Struthio camelus: one gene and its partners. The protein of the gene in region 1 binds, or shares a complex with, the protein of each later gene. Links are inferred from orthologs where the notes say so. Each region holds a gene or a part of one and is shown on either strand. Other genes may lie near its edges.

Region 1 (7,232 bases):
TCAGGCTGGTCCCAGACCAAAAACATAACTCAAGACCCGACCGCACATCACGTTAGTAGGGCTATTCTATTAGTGAAGAGTAAGTTTTCCATGGGTAAGAGTACCAAATGTCATGGAACATTTGACCTGCTGTCTGTAAAAGGAGAAAAGGCTCAGCAGCAGGAGAGATTCCTGTTCAGTGACCTCTGTTAAGGAGTGAAGCTGAGCTGCTCCTTACCATTTGGGAGGCTTTACTATAGAAACAGCTTTGGGCTGTGTTCTTTAGGAGGTGGAAATCAGCAGGTGCTCTCAGATAGGATCATTTGACGCTCCTCTGGCTCTGGTGTAGATGAGTGCTCTTGAGATGAAGCCGCTTACCCTAGAGTTACTGCAAAACAATATTCCAGCGGGGTCTAAATCTGATAGCTTGTGGCTCTTTAAAAGGGAAGCTCTCCCTCCTCTGCTCTGGCTTGTCTGTTCCTAGTCCCCTCATTTTGCCAGCTCTGGTGCTTGTTAAATCCTTCGTGAGCCAGTTCAGCTCACAGAAATGAAGCAGAGCCAGAGCTGGCACAAGGGGAGCGACAGAAGCATGTGGGTAGGTACAAGGATAGAAAGGGGAGAGGGCAGCAGGAGCTCCTCGCTTTTTTTGACGTGAGCTGTTAGAGCAGCTCACGTCATCTCATGGGTCTGTAGCTGCAAGGCACCGTGGGCTGGATCCAGCTAAGCGCTTAAGTACACGCTTCACTTTAAGCATGTGACTAGTAGCGCTGAAGCAGATCCTTGCATGACCGAATGCAAGAGCAGGTGAGCTCCTGGAAAAAGGGTTATTTATTGACTCACGCCTTCCCAATGGCAGGTGTGGTCCTCGGCAGGCATGTGACTCGCATTACAGCCGTGACGTGAGGGTGTGAGGGAAAATAACTGCCTCATTCCTTCCCTCTCCTTTTGCTGTACTGACCACTATAAAAACTGGCTGAGTGCAAACGGAGGCTGTTAAACTTTTTCTGCATCAAACAGTCAGGAAGGTCATCCCAAAGTGACGCAGCGTCCAGCCTTTCTGAGTATTCAGGCCCCTCCAAATTATTTCTGAGAGCAGTGGCTTTAAAGTGCAGTGTCCCACACAAACAAATCCAACCTGGAGGCTTTACGTTCTTTCTTAAGCTCATTTCAGTTGCACGAATTATTTTATTTTCTGTCTAAAGCTATCATACATTTTTAAGCTTGATAAGAAGCTGCTGTGCCTGACCACAGACATGCTGGATTTTAGTGTCTTAGTTCTGTGTTTATAGCTAATTCCCCAGAAAGGTGAGAGTCAATCCCGCACATTTCTAAAGTTTCAAAGAGCTTTAGTTCCGACTTTAAAGAGAAAACATTAATTTAGGTGAGAAGAATAGAGTTGCGCACACCTTTGAACTCTGTCTTATCCCGCTGCGTTGAAGCATCAGGAGTGTGAGAGCGCAGACCACTCTGAAAGGAGAGTGGTCCAGAGGACCACTTACGGGACCACTTGGTCCCATTTGCCTGGACTTAGGAGATCCACATTGAATCCTTCAGTCTGTTACTGACAACTTCCCAAGTGACCCTGGGCAAGTTACTTCTTGTCCCTCTTTCCCAATGGCAAAATGAAACTTTTCCACATCCTAAAGATGCGATGAAGGCTAATCCATTTAGAAACATCCAAACATCTGCCACTCTGGTTATGAGGGCCATATCCATATCCTGCATCTGCTTTTAGCAAGTAATGGCCTGCAGCAGACGGCTGAATGTTCCCATCTGTCAACCAAGCGATGGGGACTCACACAGCTGGTCATGCTGCCGTTCCAATTTCCAACTGCAGTTAGCATTTTTCCCTTTCCCCTGATCCTTCCATACTGACTGCCTGAGATAGGTAATGCGTGTTATTTCTGTCCCTTTGTGATAGTTGCAGTTGTCACCAATAGTGGAGTTAAATGTTGGTGGGGAGATGTACACGACAACGCTGAGCACCTTAAAGAAACACCCCGGCTCCAAGCTGGCAGAGATGTTCACCGGCCAGCCCAAACTGAGGACTGACTCAGAAGGGAGGTTCTTCATTGACAGGCCGGGGACCTATTTCAAATATATCCTGGAGTATCTGCGTAGTAACCAAGTGCCCACGCAGTGCATCCAGGACGTGTACAAGGAGGCGTTGTTCTACGACATTGAACCTCTCATCAAGCAACTAGAAGACTCCCCTCAGATCTTTGGGGAGCTAGTGGCAAGGAAGCAATTTCTGGCCCGCGTGCCCAGTTACAGTGAGAACATCGAGCTGATGATCCGCATTGCGAGGGCAGAAGCGGTCGCTTCCCGCCGGTCCAGCGTCATCGTGTGCGTTGTCAGAACTGAGGAGGATGCTGCCAGATGTCAGGATGCCTTGAACAGCTTGGACATGGACAAAAAATCCGTGGTGAAATTTGGCCCCTGGAAGGCAACGCCAAGTATTTCTGATCTGCTGGACTGCATTCAAATGGACGTCGAATCCAAAGGGTACAACATATCCTTTCAGCCCCATGTTGCAGAAAAAGGGTTTCGCTTCAAATCCTATGACTACTTCTACAAGTTCCTGTTCACCTGGTGGTAGCAAAGTGCCACCATTGACGGAGAACGGAAAAAAGCAATTATTCAAACAAATTGACTTGGATTGTGGAGACCAAGCCACGGACTACCGGAAAGACAGGAAGAAACGGATGAGCCAGTGAAAGGATCTCCTTTGACATTTCTTGCGAAATTAAACAGCACTTACGAGCCACTGTTTTGTTAGGTATTAGAGGATAACTGTGCATTTTAAAAGATAATGTGTTTAGAAATGTGGTACGACCTTTTCCAAAACGCTTATTCCCTTCATGCCTTTCAGTCACTTTTACTGACTACACTGAGAAGTAACAGGCCTTGCAGAGGCAGTCCAGCCAGGAGGAAAAGGATGAATTTTATTCTATTTTATATGTTGCTGACTATTGGATAAGTTCAGAGGACCAGGCTCTGTGTTTCATTCCTCATTGTTTCTCATATATTGCCAGGCATGATCTTTTCTGGTGGAAAAAAAGGTCTCCTGCAATTCCCAGTGGCGTCAGTGAAATTAATTAATTAATTAATTCATGCCAACTTAAATTTGGATCTTCAACCAAAAGCCAAAAGCTCTGGTTCGCGTTCTTTCCCGTACCAGATCCTAGGTAAAAAGGGATTTTGGTGTCCCGTTCTCTCCTCTTGTTCCTCCAGCAGACAGCCTACTCTCTAGCCAATGTATTTATTGCCGTTATTTATTATTTATTCTGAAGTGAAAACAGAGAAGCCCAGCTGCCGTGCAGGATCAACACAAGGTAAAAGTACTGCTACTAATCCAAGGAGTTTATAAACCGATGACACACGCTCCTCCCTCATGCCACACTATTCACTCTTTCCCTTGTGACAGCTATTATTATTCTTTCGTTTTTATTTTATTTTATTTTTTTAGTATAAGCTTCTGCGAGAATAAGGACAACTCGCAGTGATTTGACTGGAAGGGAGGACGGCTGAAGGAAAACCCTGAGGCCTCGGCGGCGACGTCGCCTTGCCGGATGCTGGATCGGGTTCTACGTCGTGTTTTTGAAACTTTTAATATTCCAGTTTGTTTTTTGGGCTGGAGGTGGCTGTCAGCGTGTTTTCCAGTCGCTCTGGGGATACCTGAAAACCGTTACGGCTCGTCTGGATTACGGCTGTGTTTCCTTTTCTTCTCAAAACGTGGATTTCTTCCAGCTAAGGGCGCTAACCCCCGGGTTGTTAAATAAACGTACCTCAAAAGCTCTTTGAATGACGCAGAAGTGCTTTATTTACGGGCCTCTTCCCCCCACCCCCTTCACCTCCCCCCGGTTTTATCTTTAAGCGATTGGACTCGAATCACTCCCTAATTACGCTTGGTTTAAGCCGTGCTCGCCCTCGCAGCGGTTCCCCCACAGCCAACGGCAGAAGTCGCCCTGCCGGTTCCCGCTTTAAGGCTTTGTGGGGGCGGGGGTCTCGCGGCGCCGCCGTTCCCATGGCAACGACGAGCTTTCCCCCCCCACCCCCGCGCTGTTCCCACGGCAACGCGGAGGTTTTTCCCGCCCTCCCGCCTCTCTGACCATAGAGCGTTGACCTCCAGCTTTGCAGCGAGGACGCTGCCTCGCCGCGTCAAGGCGGTGGTTTCTCTTCCAGGCCGGGGAGGCGGGCGAGGCGCGTACGGTGGCCGCGGAGGGCCGAGCCGGCGCGGGCGGCGGCGGCGGCGGCGGGCGGGCGGCATGGCGGCGCACTTGAAGAAGCGGGTGTACGAGGAGTTCACCAAGGTGGTGCAGGTACCGCAGCGGGGCTCGGCGGCCGCGGAGGGAGCCCCAGAGGTGCCTTGCGAGGGGTGGCTCCGACAGGCGTTGCCGGGAAGGCCGCTAGCGTCCCGCGGCCTAGCCCAGGGGGGAGCCCCGAGGCCTAGGGCCGATGTTTGCCCGGACTCGGGGGGTCGGGGGTTGCCCGGAGGGGAGAACCGGGCTGCCCCGGGGTCGGGGAGACGGCAGTGGTCCCCTCAGGGTTGAGGGGAGGCCGCCTTGGTGCCGGGGTGGGGGGCAGGAGCTGCCCCAGCCAGGGGCGGGGGGGGAGGCAGAGTTTGCCCTGTGGTGCCAGCAGTTTTCTGGGGTGAGAGTGGGGGAGGCAGGACCTGCTCCAGGCTGGGGTTGGGGGCGGGGAGGAGAAACAGTGTTTCTGCAGGGACGGGGACTATTTGGGCAGAACAAGACCTGGTTGTGGAGGGGACGCTGTTCCCCTGCATGCCTGGGATGGAGAGGGAAGAGGCCAGCGGTGCTGAAGGCACCGGAGCTGCCCCAGCCTGGCTTGGTAGTAGGATAGTGTACCCACCAGGAAAGAGTGGGTATGAATTTGCTGTGTGTTGCCGAACCGTGCCTGTGTGCCTCTGCCTGCAGCAGCAGCATGAGGACCTGTCCACCAAGAAGCTGCGGCTGACCAAGCCCAGCAAGTCCGCGGCGCTCCACGTCGACCTGTGCAAAGCCACCTCGCCAGCAGATGCCTTGCAGTACCTGCTCCAGTTTGCCAGGAAGCCTGTGGAAGTGGAGAGTGTGGAAGGGGTTGTCAGGATCCTGCTGGAGCATTATTACAAGGTAGCAAAGCTGACAGCCAAGCGTGTTTCCAGACTCCTCTTTCTGGCCTTGTTATCTAGAAGGATGGGATTAACTGCAGAATAAGGAGCCACTGGCCTGTGGGTTGCTAATTCAGGCCTGGCTCAGGCTCTTGGAAGCCATATGTGACAAGAGTGAGTGACTAGCCCTTTCCTCAGATGATTGCTGGTGGTTTTACTTGGCAGCTTTGCCAATAGTTTCAGGAGTCAGGTGACAGGAACGTGAACTGTGTTATCCCTACAGATGGCCCCTCCTAGGCAGTCTGAAGTTAAGCTGGCAAGGACAAAAGAGAGCTCAAGAAATTGTCCGGAGCACTAAACTGTCCAAATCTGGCCCAACTTTATCTAAGTCTGTCCCAACTGATGTTTCTTTACCTTGCTCTTAGTTTCTTCTTACAACAGAGAAACTTTGTGCTTACGCTGTGGGCAAAACAGTTTTAACATGATGCTTCTGAAAAACTCTTCAGCTTTTCAAAAAAAAAATTAACAACAGAAAAATAGGATTCTGTGTGTTACTGCGGAAAAATAACAAATAAGAGAAGTAGCGTGTGCATCATAGTATCAAAACACTGGTCCTTCACTTGATAAATCACAACTTTATTGCAGCGAACAAAGCTGCATTGCAGGCGGAAACCTTCCTCATAAATGTCCTTATGCTACTTCTAACTTCTTCCTTTACTTTTAACTGTACTCTACTTTGAATTGACACTTAAACTGTAAGTTACATTTTATTTTTTTCTATACTTTACCTGCTTTGGGTTGCAGATTGAGACTGTTTTACAGCTTTCTGTGTATTTATCATTAAATTTTTTTGGAAACTACTTTTCATTGTTGGGTTAATCTACACTTAAGAATATACAACTTCAGAAACTTAACTTGCTATAGTTCCATAGCTTTCCATGAACAGAACTGTGGTTCCTGAGCAAATAACGCTGTTGGCGTTTTTGTGTTGCAACCTATGTCAAAAGGAAGACTCTTAAATTTACAGATAAGGTCAGATTTTCAAGTGCACAGCCTGTGAGAGAAGTCAGATTTTAAAAACTCTTGCAATCCTAAACCTGCTGTTATTTTGCTTAAGGTTAACATTTTGTAAAGAACTAATTTGCTAGTATCTCTAGAAAACTACACTTTAACTGGTCTTCAAAAACCTAGCACTGAAAACTAACTGCAGCAGAAGTTGTACGATGATGTGCTGTTTGTAGTGTCGTTTTTTTGTTTAAGGTGGTTCTGCAACCTGCTGCTTATTCATTATATTCCTTTATATTATAGCAGGTCTGCAGGGCTGTTTGGGAACTGTTCTCTGAAATGGATTAGAGAAATAAGATTACTTTTTTTTTTCCTCATTTTTCACCTCGTGTGTTCCCATGGCCCTGCTAGCAGTTGAATCAACATGGCTGAGTGGGTGGCATGTAGTAATGAAGGGGAGAAAGGGAAGGGACAGAGTACCATAAGCTAATATTGCTGTCAGAGACAGTGTGCCCTCAAAGAGTGACCTGAGATGATCCTGAAAGTCTCTTCCTGACTCCTGAGTGTGGCCAGGACCAGGAGTTAGAGGCACTTCACCTACTGGTGTTTTGATCTTGGAGACAGCAATCAGACCCCTAGAGTAATAGAATCGATTTCTCTAATTTCCTTCTCAGGAACCATGAGAAGGAGAGAGAATACGCCCTTTTCTGGGGCAGGCTGTCCATAACTTGCTAATGATAAAATTGAAGACTTTATTCATAAAACTCTTAAAAGTGCCTTTATAAGCATGCTTTTTGAAGTTTATGATTTCATCTGTATCATGGGGAGGGTTGTCCTTTTATTTGAAAGAACATGAGTAATGTGTGTAAGCACCGGATGTATTATACTGTGGAAATCTGTATTGTCCACTGACATAAGTAGCCCAACTGCAATGACTGTTGTTAAAGCACTTAATTTAGGCCCTGGAAAATGAAAACAGTTCTCAGCTAGGTTTAGAAAGAATTTTTTTCCTGGTGCTGTAGTATTTGTCACTCTGGAGAGACTTGATCGCTGTTGAAAGATGTAATTTTTTGTAACTACGTATTACTGCAACTCTGTGTTCCAGGTTGCTCAATTGCTTGGTCAGAGCTAAGTATAG
Region 2 (7,153 bases), on another chromosome or scaffold:
AAATACCAGTTATCTCCCTGAGCTCCTTTGCCCTTCAGAGTTGTCTCCCATGGCATCTCACCTGCTGTTCCCTGAAGAAGTCAAAGTCTGCTCTCTTGAAGCACAGCTTTATTCTGCTACTCACCCTCCTCACTCCCCTCAGGAGCCTGAACTCCACTATTTCATAGTTACTACAGCCAAGGTTGCCATTGATTATCATGTTTCCAGTCAGTTCTTCCTTGCTCATGAACTGCAGATTCAGGAGACCACATCCCCAGGCTGGCCAATCCGTTGGTCCATACTGGTGTTAAGATGTTACTCTCAGCTCACCCTAAAAATCTCCTGGAGTGCTTGCATCCCACTGCACTGCCCTCCGAGCAAATAGTGGGGAGGGTCTGTGATGTGGACACTTCCTCAACTTACTTAAAGAAGAAATCATGCATCATTTTCTCTGGATCAAGTGGTCTATAACAGACTCCCACGATGTTGTCACCCTTACTGGCTCCTCCTCTGCTCCTGACCCACAAGTTCTCGTGGTGACTGTCCCCCATATTCCACCAAAGAGTTCCATGCATCCATGCTGCTCCTTCCCCCAACAGGCAACCCTACACACACTATTCTTCCTGCGCATCTTTCCCAGGCAGCCTGTCTCCGTGTATCACAGAACTCCAGTCGCGCAAGCCATCCCATCACATGTCAGTAACTGAATCGTTTCATAGGTCTGTGACCGCACATAGCCTGTTTCCTCAGCTGCCTATACTCAATTCAGGCTTTGCAGTCTCTGAAGCTGCCTTTGACTGAGCCACTTCCTCCCCCTCAGCTACCAGAGCACTGTATCTATTCTGTAAATGAAGATCCAGGGTGGAAGAGGGCATTTTGGTAACATTATAATTTTGTTAGTGGTTTAGTCATTTAAGTTACTTCAGAATTTGGATAGACTGAATGTAATTGACTTCACGTTTTTCTTTTCTAATCTGAGAATCTAGACAGTTCCTCAGCCTTTAATAAGTAAATCTAAAGCATGTATCTTCCTACCTTTAGATAATTTATTTTTTGTAAAAAAAAAAAAAAAATTGATTAAGAGGAAAATAATCCCATTTTTTCCTGCACTACCCTCAGCCTCTTGAGCTGGATTCTGCACAGCTTACTGGTCTAGCAAGTCAACATCTCTCTTGCCACCTTCCCAACCCTGATACAATACCATATTTGTTTTTTTATCCAGCTAATTGCTGTTCAAGTATAATTCCAGCCATCTTTAATATCAGATTTGATTTTTATTCACATTCTTTTCTTATGATCCACTATTTTTTTTCAGATAGCCACCTGAAATAAAGTGCACAGATAAAAGAGGATACAGACTTAATCCTGTGCATATCCCAGTCTAGTAAGACTCTTTGAGCCTAAAGTTCACAGAGAGAGATTATCCACCAGAGCTATCTGCAAAACAGTGGAAACTTAAAAGAAATATTCTATTTGATTAAAAAAATCAAAACAATTAATTTAAAAAACAAATATAAAAGAGGTGACAGAACAATAGCGTACAGAATTCACTTGGGATAGAGAAGATCCCCTGCGTCAACTCCTACTTATACATATAATTAATTCAAACATAAGTTTCTCACAGCCCTTTCGAGTGGTGTTATCCTAAGCCCATTTATTGTTCAAAAGCAAGTTAACACGTCTTTGGTTCCAAGTACAGGTTCTATGTTAGATTGGAATTCCACACATGATGTTTCATCAGTTACCCTTCTAAAAAAGGTTTTTGTTCTGATAAAGCTATGCTGCCACACAAATGGTTTTGTCAAAACCAAGTAAATGAGATAATCGTACCTATGCAACCGAGATTTGCTAACCCCTACTACCACAAAGCTTCAGAGCTCTGCAAAAATGGACCTAAAAACACTGTTTAAATAGGTGCCACTGCTTATTAGTTTAAATCACTAGCAAATTATTACCTCTCTTCATTATCTTTTTCACCCCTTCCTAGTTCAAATGATTTGCTTACTGAAACTCATTAGGTGTGCAAATGCCCTAGATATCATTTTCCTGGTGATTTCCAGGTGGAAGCTGCAAATTTTAGTCAAAACTGAATTTTTGGGTCAGTTACACCAAAGCCACAACCCCACACTCTGCAGCATATTTGCTGCAAGTTTCCCTTCTTATTTCCTTTAAGAATGAATAAAGGCTTCTTATTTAAAAACTCTTTTTTAAAGAAAATAAAAGCTCTCTATGCCTCCATATGCTGCAGTCCAAAAAAATAACTTACAATTTCGGCTGAAATGCATACGTCTTGTAAAATAGGGCATACATGAGCTCTATTTGCTTGGTCTGTTCCTTCCCGTCCCCAGCGGTGGCTCCGTGTGCTCTGTGCTATTGAGCTGAGCCCAGGGCAAGTCCCCACCACAAAGAAAGAGATGAACCCCTCTGCCTAATTACAGCGCTAACAACGCAATCAGCTGACACTAAACTCTAGTGCCTTGACTTGAACACCCAGCTAAGAGAGACTAAAGAGAGAGAGAAACACAGCTCAGAGTGCTACGACTAGAGGTGGAAAGCGTCTGCTAAACTCACTGCCCTGAGAAGAGCGGCCCGAAAGGCAGCTCCGGGGCTGGGGGCACCCTGCCACACCCGCTACCACCAGGATTGAACCGGTCCTGGAGCCCCGGCAACGAGCGCGCCGCTGCGGAGGAGGGGGGGGGGTGCAACTGCCCGCAACCGCTTCAAACTCTTTTCCAACCGCCATCGCCGACAGGGCCACCCCTCCCCCCACGCCGGCACCAGCCGCCCCTCGAGCCGCAGAGTAACGGTCAGAGGGGTCTCGTGCTCTCCCAGCCCCCTCACCAGGTGCCCTCTCCCTTACCTGCGGGCCGGCACGGCACGGCCGGGCACGAGCGAACGGGTGACTGAGGGCGTCCACCGAGACCACCACCACCACTACCTCCCGCCCGCCCCCCCGGCTCAGCCTCCAAGCCGCGTCCGTCGCCTTTCGCGTCCCCCCGCGCAACGAGAGCCCCGAGGCGGCGGGTTCCGGTCGTGCCCGCGTGGAGGAGGGAGGGAGGGAGGGAGGAAGACAACCGGAGCGGGCGCTCGCGCAGGAAGGGGCGGGGCCAGGGCGGAAGCGGCTGGGCGACGTGCGGGACAGGGTAAGCGGCCGTTGGCGCCCGCCTCGCGCGCCGGGCCCGGAGCCGTTGGGGATTGAGGGGGGGCGGTCTCCACGCGACCGTTACTGGCGGCGGGAAGAGGCCGGGGGTGGTGGCGACGGAGGGAGAACGGGCGCCGGGTATCGGCGCGCCGCCTTCGGCAGCCCGGCGTTTGCCGCCTCCTCCCCTCACGGCTCGCTGACCGCGAAGCGCGGCGCCTGCCCGTGCCCTCGTTGCCGTTAGCTTTCTGTTTCCTGAGCGAGGTTTGGCTGGAAACTGGCGGTCGAGGCGTTTATTGGTGAAGAGCACTAATAACTGATGAAGGAAAAGACACCTGTAGTCTTCCTCATCTGGCAGTTGGGGGACTCTTCTTTAAGCTTTTCTCCATCTGCCGCCCCCCCCCCCCAAACCACCAAAAAAAGCTGGAGTCTGGTTTTCAGTGATTCTCCGTGTCTGAACACTTGGTCTGCTTTTTCTGGACTGACAGACTGCTGAGTGAAGGTCGCAGTGCAGGCTTTATGTCATCGTTCCGCAAAGGAATTTTTACTCAGTGGCATTATTTTCTGCAATAATTGAACTTTAGTGTGCTGCCTTGCTAAGGTTTGTCTTGTATTCTTCATACTTTACTTTGCTGAAATACATATATTTTTTATTGGTATACTAGTCTGAAATTCAGATGCCTCTCTATTTCTCTCTGGTTTGAAAATCATACAGTTATTTGGATTCACTTGAGGATATAACGGTAGCCCTAAAGTTTACAAGCAAATTGGTCTGGTGAACAGACATCTAATTCAGATTTGCAAAGTTATCTCTCTTAAAGCACAAATACTGTTTTCTGTTAAGCTAAATATTTGTTAGAGGAAACTATGTCTTTAAATGACTTGCAACATCAAACACTTCACAAACATTACTGTCTCTATTTTAAAAAAACCTTTTGTTTTCCTATAGAATAATCAACAAATAAACAAGGTCCTTTTCAGGAACTAAAAGGAAGTGAATGTTTGTGTTTTGTGTGTGTGGGTTTTTTTAGTTTTTCATTTATATTTCCTGGAAACAGTTTTTTTTAAACACTTTTCTGTACTATATCACTAGCGTGATAGCTCAGTAAAACTAATTTAGCTGGAATTTAGTGCCTGTAGAGAGAGAAACAGAAATGGTAACAAACAATATTACTAGTGAAAAATAAGCATGATTAATAGATATTAAGCAGCTCAACATGATTGTTACACTAAATGTAGACAAAAAACTTTTTTCTTGTCTTTAAAGTATGTTGCAAATACTGTGATGTTTGTTATTTTTGTCCAGCTGACTTCTTCATTTCACAATATCAATAGCAGCTACTGTAAATATGAGTAATATAGCATACAAGTCCATCTCTTCCCACACTCTTCCTTCTCTAATTAAACTGTAAAACGTGTGGGAAGAGGCATTACCATCAAGACAGTGAACAATCTGATATCCTGTAAGTTTTGTTAGTGCTATGTTTTGTTTTATTGTGAATGTCTGGGTGTTTCTCTCTCAGTAAGCTGCCAGTGGATCCTTAAATTAACCACCTTTAACAGCAGGGTGGCAGTCATATACATACTTTCAAAGGAAAGGCTGTGCTTAAACACAGAAGTAAGATGTACCCTGCAGAGCCAAAATAGTGGGGAAAAACAACTAAATTTGAAGAAGGAGGGGGAAGGTAAAAACCCAGGCTTTATAAAGATCTGTGCTTAGGGATAGGCTGTTAGTATCTAAACTAAAAGATGGGAGTGGGTTGACATATGGTAGTGCAAGCGTGTACAGTTGGTTGAAGTGATTATGCAAGAAGGGCTTGAGTACATTTGCACAAGGGACAATTGAAAGAAACGCAGGTAAGTCATTTATAGATAGAACTCCCAGAGAGATTTATTTTGCTTTCTTTTCTGTAAAAGACTTGTTTGGAACAAAATTAACCTAGTTGTAGTTTATATTATATTTATAGACTGAACTTCAAAATCCACAAGGGAATCCCTTAAGGAAAATGTCAATTGCTCTAGGACACGTTCCCTGTGTGACATTGAGTTAAAAACTCCCCTTGTGCTTCAGCCTTTTCTCTTACATAACGGAAATTCAGGAACCTTTGTCCTTACGAGGCTATTGGGAGGCAAGTCCCAGTGATGAGGTAGCATTTTTTTTTTAACTTTATTGGTATACCTATCTGAAATTCTGATGTTATGATGATGAGGCATAAACATTTTTACAGTAACTAACTGTATAAATAAATCCAAATCAAATGTTCTGCTGCTCTATTGAAATAAGTGTGTTTATATAACGATTCACAGTCATTACAGAAGCACATTTTGTTTAAAAATGCTTTTAGAAGTTTTAGGGTTATTGGAAATTATCAGAAGTATAAAAGCAATAGCGTCAGTGCTGAAAAGCTCAGCGCAGAAAGCAGAGTGACATTTTTTGCCACTAGTCCTCCCTATCTTTTAGTCTGAAAAAGCCTGCCTGTTTTTTGGTCTTGATCTGAAAAGTACATAACTTACAACATCCACTTCTCTTCCAGTTTGCTAAGAAACTGCAAACTTTTCTCCAAAGCAGTGAAAGAACAAAATTTAAATTGACACAAAAGTTAAGGAAAAAAATACTAGTAAGCATCATATTCGATTAACCATTTTTAGTATATGGTTGCAATAAGGGGAGAAGATTCAGTGCTTCCTGTGGGAGCTAGTGAAGAGTTATTACTGTGATCTACTCATGAATGAGACAATAGATATCAGTGGTGTCTATGCAGTGTTGAACTGCATGTATGGATTAGGACAAACTTCAGAACTTGGGCTTTTCTAACAATGGTGACGCGTGCTGTTCTTTTATTTTAACCGTACACAGCAAAACTTGTTACCAGGGCAAAAGCCACGTTTCTGGTATTAGCTAATGTGGATGATGAAAACTTTGATGAGCTCTGAAGTATCTTTGTTGTAATATTTAAATAACAGTGCCTTTATCTTGATAATTCTAGAAAATGAAGTGATTAAATGGGGTAGAGGAAAATCTTTTATTTAAACCATTACCAGGAACAGAGGATAGGGACCCTTTGAACATAGCAGGTGGCTTTGCATTGGTCACTATCTGTCTGAGACTGGAAAAGAAAATTTCCTAAATAGATGCTTGAGGTAATGTTACCGAACTAACTTTTTGTGTCTAAAAGGTTTTTGATGTCTAGAGAAATAAGAGCAAGAGAAACCTGGATTAATCTAAATCTCCTAACTTAAAGATGAATTACAAACAAAAACCCGTAAGTTACCAAGCTAGGTTTATCATTTGACAGTTGCACAGACTATGGAACTTAGAGGTCAGAAATTACACTGCCCATCTCGAGGTAACTGTTTGTGAAAAGTAAAGGCAAGAGAACTTTTAGTACTGCTTTCTGAAGTTGAAAGTGTATTAGAGAGGGACACCTGCATTTATAATTCAGAGATAGGTAAAAGGTGACTTACAAAAGGTTTCCTCAACTGTTGAGCTCTAGCTGTTTTTCTAATTGCTTCCTTTGTGGGGTAACACCTGCAGAATTTATGAGATGCAGTGCAGGTGGAGAAAGAGCAGGAGGCAAAATGGTCCTTTTTAAGGGGCTGGATGTGTGGAAGAAAAGGGAGGGAAATCATCAGCTATACTTGATGCAGTTCTGGGAAAGTGAGAGGAAAAAGATCTAGATGATAAAATGATTGTGAGTTCACAAGCTGCGAGTTCAAGAGATAGGAGAATAAGTGTTAAATACATGCAATATCCTTGGGACTATATAGGAAAAAAAATCCCAGTGTTTCTTTGTGAAGATGAATGATCTCATAAGATAGAAACAGAATAGTAGAATACGAGAATGAAATAAATAATTTTCTGTGTGTAATGTGTTCAGAGTGAAATGATGCATATGTGGCTTTTGTGTAGCTTGAAATGGTAAAAGAGGCAGGGTCTGATTGTGATTATAATAGCATAAGAATGAAGTACTCTTTCTGCCAGTGAGGATAATATTCCATGGACTAGCTGTTCAAGCCTCAAGCCACTTTCAACTA
Region 3 (7,586 bases), on another chromosome or scaffold:
TGTATGGTCAGATTGGAAGAAAAAAATTAGAACATCCCCTCCTCCCCAAAAAGGAATGCTGGCCATTCCTCCTCTCTGGAAAAAAAGGTATGTTTTCACATGGCATTCGCACAGCGATGGCTTTCACTTATGTAGGTTATTAGACAGTTAAACAGTGCCTAAAGTTAGCTAAAGCAGGTGACCATGAGACAAAAACATGCTTCTGCAAAGATAAATTGAAGCGTTTAGCATATTTAAGCTAGATATTCCTTGCAATTTCTTAGGAAGACTACTATGCATAACACTGTCCTCCAAACAGAGGCCAACGTTTGTTTTGTCTCCAAGATACCTACCACCAAGGGAGCAAGTCCTCTCAGGTTCTGCCTCCTCTTCTTTGTTTTTGAAGGAGTCTGCTTGTCAACCACATTGTGTGCGCCACTGATTTGATTCACCTGCCTATAAAATCCATCTGAAAGAAATCAAAGACATCTCAATTAATAGTTTCCATGCCAACATGATCTTGCCATCATTTTATTAAACAGACAGCAGTTTGGAAAACTTCCTAAAAAGTGGCTGAGATTGACCTTTAAATATCATAAACGCATTCTGAAAACAAAAATTGTTAGTTACATATGACACTGATGAGAAAAACACAATAGAAAACAGGCGCATACTCTATATAAAAAAATTGCCGCAGTCAGTGTCGCTTGGACACCGAAGCTAAAACTGGTACAGCCAAACTGCCTTTGGAAATCACTACCCTGAAGTCTTCAGCACGCATCCTGATTAGGAGCATTCAGCAGATTTCATCCAGAGCAGAACATGCAGGCAGTTTTCCAGTGTTCTTCCACTCTATTTCCTCATTTTCTATTTACCCTTTTGTCCCGTACTCCTCACTTGATCAGACTCCGATTGCTTTACAAGCCTTGTCATAGAAGACAGTTACTTTATACTTTTTTGCCCTGTACCTTCCACTTCCGTTATGCACAGCTTCCCTTTTCCCCCCACTTGCTGGGTCAAGAGTTAGAGAACCCAAGAGAGATGAAACTGTGAGACGTTCTGGCAGCACACGTCAGGAAACTGCTGGAGACAGAGCAAGAAACTGAGAAGAGATTTAAGGGCATGACCTGGGAAGGAAAAGAGAGACCTTCTCCAGGAAGCAGAAGGAGGAGCAGAAGGAGCCCTCCACCTCACCCTGCTCTCAGCAGTTATTCCCCTAATACATTGAGTTGCTTCCAAGAACTACAAGCCCTTAGGCTCTTGTGTTTTGCTCTCCTTCCTGCTCTGCCTAAAGTCTTCTCAGCTTTGCTTCATCCCTGCAGATGCTTCTGCACTGATCACTATCGCCCAGCCAATCTATCTCAGTGACCTCCTATCCAAGGATATATTTTGTGCTCTCTGCATCTCCCTACTGATACACAGTGTATTGTAAGGACAGCATGTAGATCATGCTGCAAATCTGAAACTGTTACAAAGTGGCAAAAGCTCCAGTCCAACAAGTATATTTGAATATTACTTCCCACACAAGATAGTAAGCCCTTCTGTTCAGTTCAGTTACCTTTCTTGTTGCATCTGATATCCCAAACCATGATGTTTCCATCTCTCCCTCCAGTACAGAAGACAGCTGGGGGTGGGGGGCGGAGAGAGAGAGAACTATTAGCATCCAAAGGTGTTAATTTAATTAACTGAATTCAGTACAATCCCACATATGTGCCTCTGGCTCTTCTGCCCCAACACTTGGGATGCCAGTCCCAGATATACGCAAATTGGGCCTTGATCCTGCAACACTTAACTGCTTTCCTTACTCTGCCTAGTCTTTCCTTACTGCTCCAGAAAGGACTGCCTGTGAAAAGAGTTATTTAGACACTTCTCTACGTAAATAAGGGCTGAATGATTCCAACATCATGTCTTAAACTTGTCCAAGATTAGAAACGTGCAGATACTAGCATCAGATCACCTGCTAGCATCTGACACCTAAGGCCCTAATTTTACTGTAACTCTAACTTCCTCGAAGCCAAGATAAATTGTAATAATACAATATGATGTAAATATATGCAAAATATACATATGTATTTGCAATAATATATTATATTTTCCCAAGAAAACAGCAAAGCTTAAACAGTGAACGCACCTTCTATCCCTAAAAGAAGTTCCCAAAAGTTAGTTTCGCTTCGTTGACTAGGTCACTGCTCACAATCTGCCTGAGCTATTTGTGCATTACCATCGATTTCTAAAGCCCTTTTTTACCCTCATAAGTATTGATGTGTAAGGGGAAAAAAAGGGGGAGAAACAGAGGAGCAGAAAATGTCAACGTTTACCTTTCTCAAACCTAGAAAAAGCAACTGACTTGAGGCTACACTGGTGACCTTTGCATATGCCAAGAAGCTCCCCAGCTCTCACATCCCACACCTTGGCTGTCTGGTCTCCTGAAGCAGTGACCTTAAAGAGAAAGAATAAACAGCTTTAGTCATTCTCTGCAGCAAGTTGCCAAAGCATTAAAAATAAAGTTAGATGGCAAAAGTCTTCTTACAATTCTGTGTTCCCCTGGTACCCAGGCAATGTCAAAGACAGCATTTGAGTGAGCTTGCCATTCTGACAGGAAGAAGAAAACCCAGGATTAGTTCAGTGCATTGCAACACGAAGATGTTTTGCAGAACGCAAAAGAACATCAGACACTGAAATCAAAATTTGTTACTTGTCAACAGCTTGCCTTAGGCGTGAAAAACAAACACAGAACAATTCACTTAGTAGTGCTAGTCTAAGAACATGCTCACACCGCTGTAAACAACACTCATGAAAGGATAGGAAAGGATGCAAGTACTGCCCATATTTGTGTGTAAACAACTTAGAAAAAGTTTTCTCTGATTCCAGTATATCATCTACTTGCCACATCAAATGAAGATTGTATTCTCTATAATATTTACCCTTAAAGATAAATTTGCTGCTAGATTGAGCTTCAGTGTCATACAGTCTAACGAATCCTTCTTCATTTGCAACTGCCAGTACGTGCTCCAGATTCGGGGCTGAAAGAAATTTTAATTTATTTGAGTACTAAGTAGATAATTCATGACCATCCCCCCCACCCTTGGTCAAGGGCCGCAAACATTTTTAATAGGGTATAGAGCAAATAGATTGCTGTGCCAATAAAAAATATTTATACAGTAGTTCTCATTTTCAAAACAAAGAAATATTGCCCAGCAATGTTTCTAGATATCCCATTCAAGAGTTACTATATATGGGAGAACCAATGGCTCAAAGAGCAGATTGTGAGATAACAGCCTCTTTTGGCAGCTGTGACAGTTCCTGTTTTACATCATTACTACCTGCCCTCTACAACCTCCAGTGCTTTCTACGGGTCTGAGATGGAAAAGCAGGAAGTAGCCTTGGAGAAAGGCTCATGCCAGTACTAGACTACTTTTGCAAATGAAAGAGTTGCGACCTAAAGGACAAAGACCTAAGCTTCTATGCTTACTTCATTCATCACGTATTTATCATGGGGAAACACTACAGGGATATCTATCATGGGGAAACGCTACATAGACATCTAGTGGCATACATCCTGCTCCTGATTCGCCACTCACTGTCCTTCATCCTGCTCCAGCTCTTATGTATTTTGCACAAAGCCCGATTTTTCAAATCTTTAGCCTAGTAGTGTCATAGCTGTACATTAAGAGGACAAACCTTGACACGGACAAAGCTGAAACAGAAAGCCATTACAGTAAATGCTTTGTACTTAGTCCCTTAACTGAATGCTTTCTACTAGGACAGATAGGAACTCCGTGATCCAGTTTATACCACACCTACATGCAGTTACACTGTTATCAGCTCACTTTAATGTAAAAACACTTTATCTCATGAATCCCTGAAAAAAATTACAAGGTCTTTTGGCCTAAAAGTTTGTCTGTTATAACTGACTATGTGATTTGCTTTGTCCTGGGTGTAAAACAAGAAACTGTGAAAACAAATCATGAGATTTTAAAATAAATAAGTAGACTACTTCCAGCACACGTATGCACAGTATCCACAGCCCGGACCTTCAGAAAATACCTTTACCTGCAGAAAAGGTGCAGCCGAAGGGCGGAACCGGCATTCCCACTTCTCCGTAAGACAGGTGGTCATCTTCCCGGCTGCACTGGTAGCCGTCCAAGAGGTGCTGCAGGGGATACGCCGACGACTGACCTGCAGGGAGACAAAGGGGCTGTAATGGCACCGGCCGCGCGCACCGCGGCGGGCCCCGTTGCGCCGGCGGCGCCGGGAGCGACCCCGGCGCCGGGCAGGGCCCTCCCCGGGGGGCGCCCACCGCCACGGGCCCGGGCGGCTGGGTCGAGCCGAGCCCGGCGGCGGCACTCACGGGGCGGCGCGGCCCAGGCGCGGCGGAGCAGCGAGCGGCACAGCATGGCCAACGCTCGGCGCGCGCCGACCCCCACCCCGCGGCGCCAACTCCCGCCACCCAACCGACCCGCCAAACGCGCCGCCGCCCCTCATTGGGCAGCCGGCGCCCGCTGCGCCCCGCCCGCTGCCTCTGATTGGGCGGAGTGGAGGGGCAGGGCCGCCAGGCCTCTCCCGCTCCCCGGCGACTCACGGGGAGCGAGCCGCCGGCCGGGGAGGGCCGTTGGGGCGCGCACGCGCAGTGCCGCGCCGCCGGCGCCGCGCTCCCCCGGGTGGCGCCTGCGCCTGCTCACAAGTCGTGCGGCGATTGCTTAGGCGCCTCCGGGCTGAAAGCGGCGGGAGGGTGATTGCGCATGCGCGGTGGGCAGGGGCGGCGGACGCAGCGGAAGGCCGCGCGCTCCCGGCGACCGGCTGTGAGGGGGGGTCGCTATGGCTGCCAGCGCCAAATCCTTCCTGGCCGATGCAGGCTACGGGGAGCAGGAGCTGGACGCCAACTCCGCTCTCATGGAGCTGGACAAAGGTAGGGCCGGGGGAGGCCGGGCCGGCTGCGAGGGCCGCTCTCGGGGGGCCGGCCTGGGGGCGGGGCTGGGGCTGCGCGCGGCGCGGGGGGGGGTGTTACCTGTCGCGTGGCGTCCGGGCGCGTGCGGCTGCCGTTGGCGCCGTTGGCGCCCGCGCTCTGCCCGGCGCGGCGCTGCAGGGGGCGGCCCCGAGCTGGGCCCTAGCGCCCGCCGGGCGGTGCGCCCCGTACCCCCTTTCCCCGCTTCCTCTTCCTTTCCTCCGACCCCCCTCGAGGGCGAGTCCCGGGAGCTTCCTTTTGTACCGCCCCACCGCCAGCGCGGGTGGAGGAGCTTCGGCCTCCTCAGTAGCTATTGTTGTCTCACACAGGTCTCAGGTCTGGCAAACTCGGGGAGCAGTGCGAAGCTGTCGTTCGTTTTCCCAGGCTCTTCCAGAAATATCCCTTCCCTATTCTCATTAATTCTGCTTTCCTAAAGCTAGCTGATGTTTTCAGAGTTGGGTGAGTATTATCGGTCAGTTTGTAATGCTTCAAATCTCTGGCCTATAGTAAGGTATTTTATCCTGAGGTCCTGCTACATCGGCATCTGGGCAGCTTTGGTGTTTTTCTGCTCGCTCGATAATAGCGCAGTGATGCCTAGTCTTTAGAGGACTGCGTCCGCTTTTCCTTGGAGCATGCCTGCTCCATCCTTAGTGGCTTAAGTGGCTGTGAGAGATTAAGTTCAGTGATGCACATTCCTCCCTGTAGGCACGTTCAAGATCAGAAATAATTGAACATTCAGATTGCTGCAAATTGCTTTGCTATGATGTGAATAGCGAAGACCACTGTATAGCTTTTCCAAGTGCCTGATGCCGAAATGATGCATGTGGCAGGATTACAACTGCTTTGTAATAACTTACGAAAATTATATGCGCAGAAAGTTTGCCTTTGATTTCATTTAAAAGATTCATAAGGTAAAACCAAGAGGAAGGAAAAGAAATTCACTCAAACCAGCCAAAGGTGATTAGACTTTAAGGCTTAGTTAGCTAAGCTAAGTTTTAGTTCAAGGCTTTTCTAGCAGAGCTGGGTCCCTAAGCATGTACAACACAGGTGTTCAGTGCGTTTTCATGGATGTCAACAGGCCAGTTTCCCTGGAAGAGAATTGGGCCTAAATTTGATGCTAACTGTACTATTAAAAGTAGTTTGTTAATATTTTCTTTTTAACTGTATCAGCCTACTGAAACGTACTATCTCTAAAGTTATAGACTTTGCCTCGTTTTAACTAACTCAAATATCTTTAGTAATCATTTTGCTTGCTTAAAGTGCTTTTTTGTTTTGAATTTCTGTTATAATACAGTCTGTTAAAGATAAGCGTGTATTTTCCAATAGAAACAACTTCCTGAGGCTGTGTGTGCTCAAAGTTACTCAGCAGAGTGAGAAGCACTTAGAGAAGATTCTCAATGTGGATGAGTTTGTGAAAAGAATTTTCTCAGTAATTCATAGCAATGATCCAGTTGCTCGGGCCATTACACTTCGGTACGTATTTATAACTTTCACAGAGATTTCAAGTAAGTCCGGTTCATCTAGCTAATTATCCTAGACTGGAATAACATAAATCTGTGATAACCATGAATGAAATGTAGGAGGTGTTTTGCACATTGGGCATAAAGATAAGAGCAGAGACAACCATCTTAAAGGGAGTAAAAAAAAAAAAAAAGGATTTGTGAGCAGAAGAACAGATTATTAACTACTTATGATGGTGAGAATTGTGTGGATGGCTCCAGGCAAAACTGAATTCACAAGACTGAAGTTTTATATACCCGAAAAACAGAAACGTTGTATGCATAACTGAGATTTTAGCTACATGCAACATATATTTGCGTATGATGGAATTAGATAAAATTGAAAAGCAGAGTGCTTCCTTATGTGTCAAATTAATTTTTGTTAACTTATAAACACAATTTATTTATGTGTACCTTGTTACGCCTGCATGTATTTTTCGTTGATCGCTGTCCTAGATGTTTCCTGCTTGACAGTCTCTGATCAACAACATCTAAGGAAGTGCTCATGTATTAGCCATTGCTTTGGCCTTCCTGGAATTAAATAAAAAAAAAACTTTTAAGCTATCTTTAATGACTTGTTGCCCTGGTGTCCGTCTTTGTAACACTGACCACTTGATCATCTTAATTGCCTCTTCCAACTCCCATGCAAGTGAATTCAGATGTGGAGAAAGCACTCTTCTTTCTCCCTTGCTTGTTCTTTTCTTCTGTCCATTCAGAACTGATACGGATTTCAGTATTGAAAGATGGGAGACATTAACAAGATTTTTTTTTAGCTTGTACATCCATTTCTTTCTCCTTTTGACATAATTATTTGAGATTCTGCTTTGATGTTCTAGTGTCTCAGAAATACGTGAGTCTGGTATATGTATAACTTTTCTTATAGTTTTCCTTCTGTATTCCAAGGTAAGATTACACTTGCTGACTAGTGTGAAGTGCCACCTTAACAGACTGTCAGAAGCCTCAGGAATCTGCTCAGTTTGCAAATATGCTTGAATTGTTCATCAATCCACAAGATATATCAAGTGAAAGACAGGTTAAAATAGCTGTTGGTTCAGCAGTATGAAAATCTTCAGTTGATCAGTTTTGTCATCCTTGAGTAGTATCAATAAGAAGGAACATGCCAAAAGAAAAGTTGGCTGAAACAAAACTTTGTGTCTAGGCAG

What was found.
Region 2: INTS4 (region 1) and INTS12 share a complex: the UniProt entries of both Homo sapiens proteins name them as parts of the integrator complex. The link is inferred for Struthio camelus from reciprocal best matches to the Homo sapiens genes INTS4 and INTS12.
Region 3: the proteins of INTS4 (region 1) and INTS7 are in contact, whole or in part, in a cryo-EM structure (PDB 8RC4), measured with the Homo sapiens proteins. The link is inferred for Struthio camelus from reciprocal best matches to the Homo sapiens genes INTS4 and INTS7. Residues at the interface, in NP_291025.3 of Homo sapiens: Glu536, Met539, Asp540, Arg571, His572, Ala574, Tyr575, Asp578, Ser579, Ser610, Phe613, Arg620, Leu624, Leu627, Gly631, Glu634, Leu635, Phe638, Arg641, Asp642, Arg645, Leu646, Glu648, Leu649, Gln650, Lys677, Leu678, Trp679, Asn680, Val681; in NP_056249.1 of Homo sapiens: Lys137, Asn138, His140, His141, Arg144, Gln145, Gly175, His205, His206, Asp207, Ala208, Ser244, Ser245, Leu246, Val247, Lys282, Thr283, Pro284, His285, Thr286, Thr321, Ile322, Lys325, His326, Gly686, Tyr689, Glu704, Gln707, Gln708, Leu711.

What each region holds. Positions count from the first base shown.
Region 1 is NC_090942.1:220,411,191-220,418,422, forward strand, and holds the start of INTS4 (integrator complex subunit 4), read left to right. Parts: upstream 1-4,168; 5' UTR 4,169-4,247; coding exon 4,248-4,301; intron 4,302-4,916; coding exon 4,917-5,111; intron 5,112-7,232. Other genes in the region: BTB/POZ domain-containing protein KCTD14, read left to right, coding at 1,901-2,578. UniProt on the Homo sapiens protein: Component of the integrator complex, a multiprotein complex that terminates RNA polymerase II (Pol II) transcription in the promoter-proximal region of genes.
Region 2 is NC_090945.1:26,092,867-26,100,019, reverse strand, and holds the start of INTS12 (integrator complex subunit 12), read right to left. Parts: upstream 3,083-7,153; 5' UTR 2,840-3,082; intron 1-2,839. UniProt on the Homo sapiens protein: Component of the integrator complex, a multiprotein complex that terminates RNA polymerase II (Pol II) transcription in the promoter-proximal region of genes.
Region 3 is NC_090944.1:114,004,765-114,012,350, reverse strand, and holds the start of INTS7 (integrator complex subunit 7), read left to right. Parts: upstream 1-4,541; 5' UTR 4,542-4,797; coding exon 4,798-4,888; intron 4,889-5,253; coding exon 5,254-5,383; intron 5,384-6,250; coding exon 6,251-6,397; intron 6,398-7,586. Other genes in the region: DTL (denticleless protein homolog), read right to left, coding at 333-448, 1,538-1,603, 2,298-2,418, 2,510-2,571, 2,904-3,002, 4,033-4,158, 4,331-4,376. UniProt on the Homo sapiens protein: Component of the integrator complex, a multiprotein complex that terminates RNA polymerase II (Pol II) transcription in the promoter-proximal region of genes.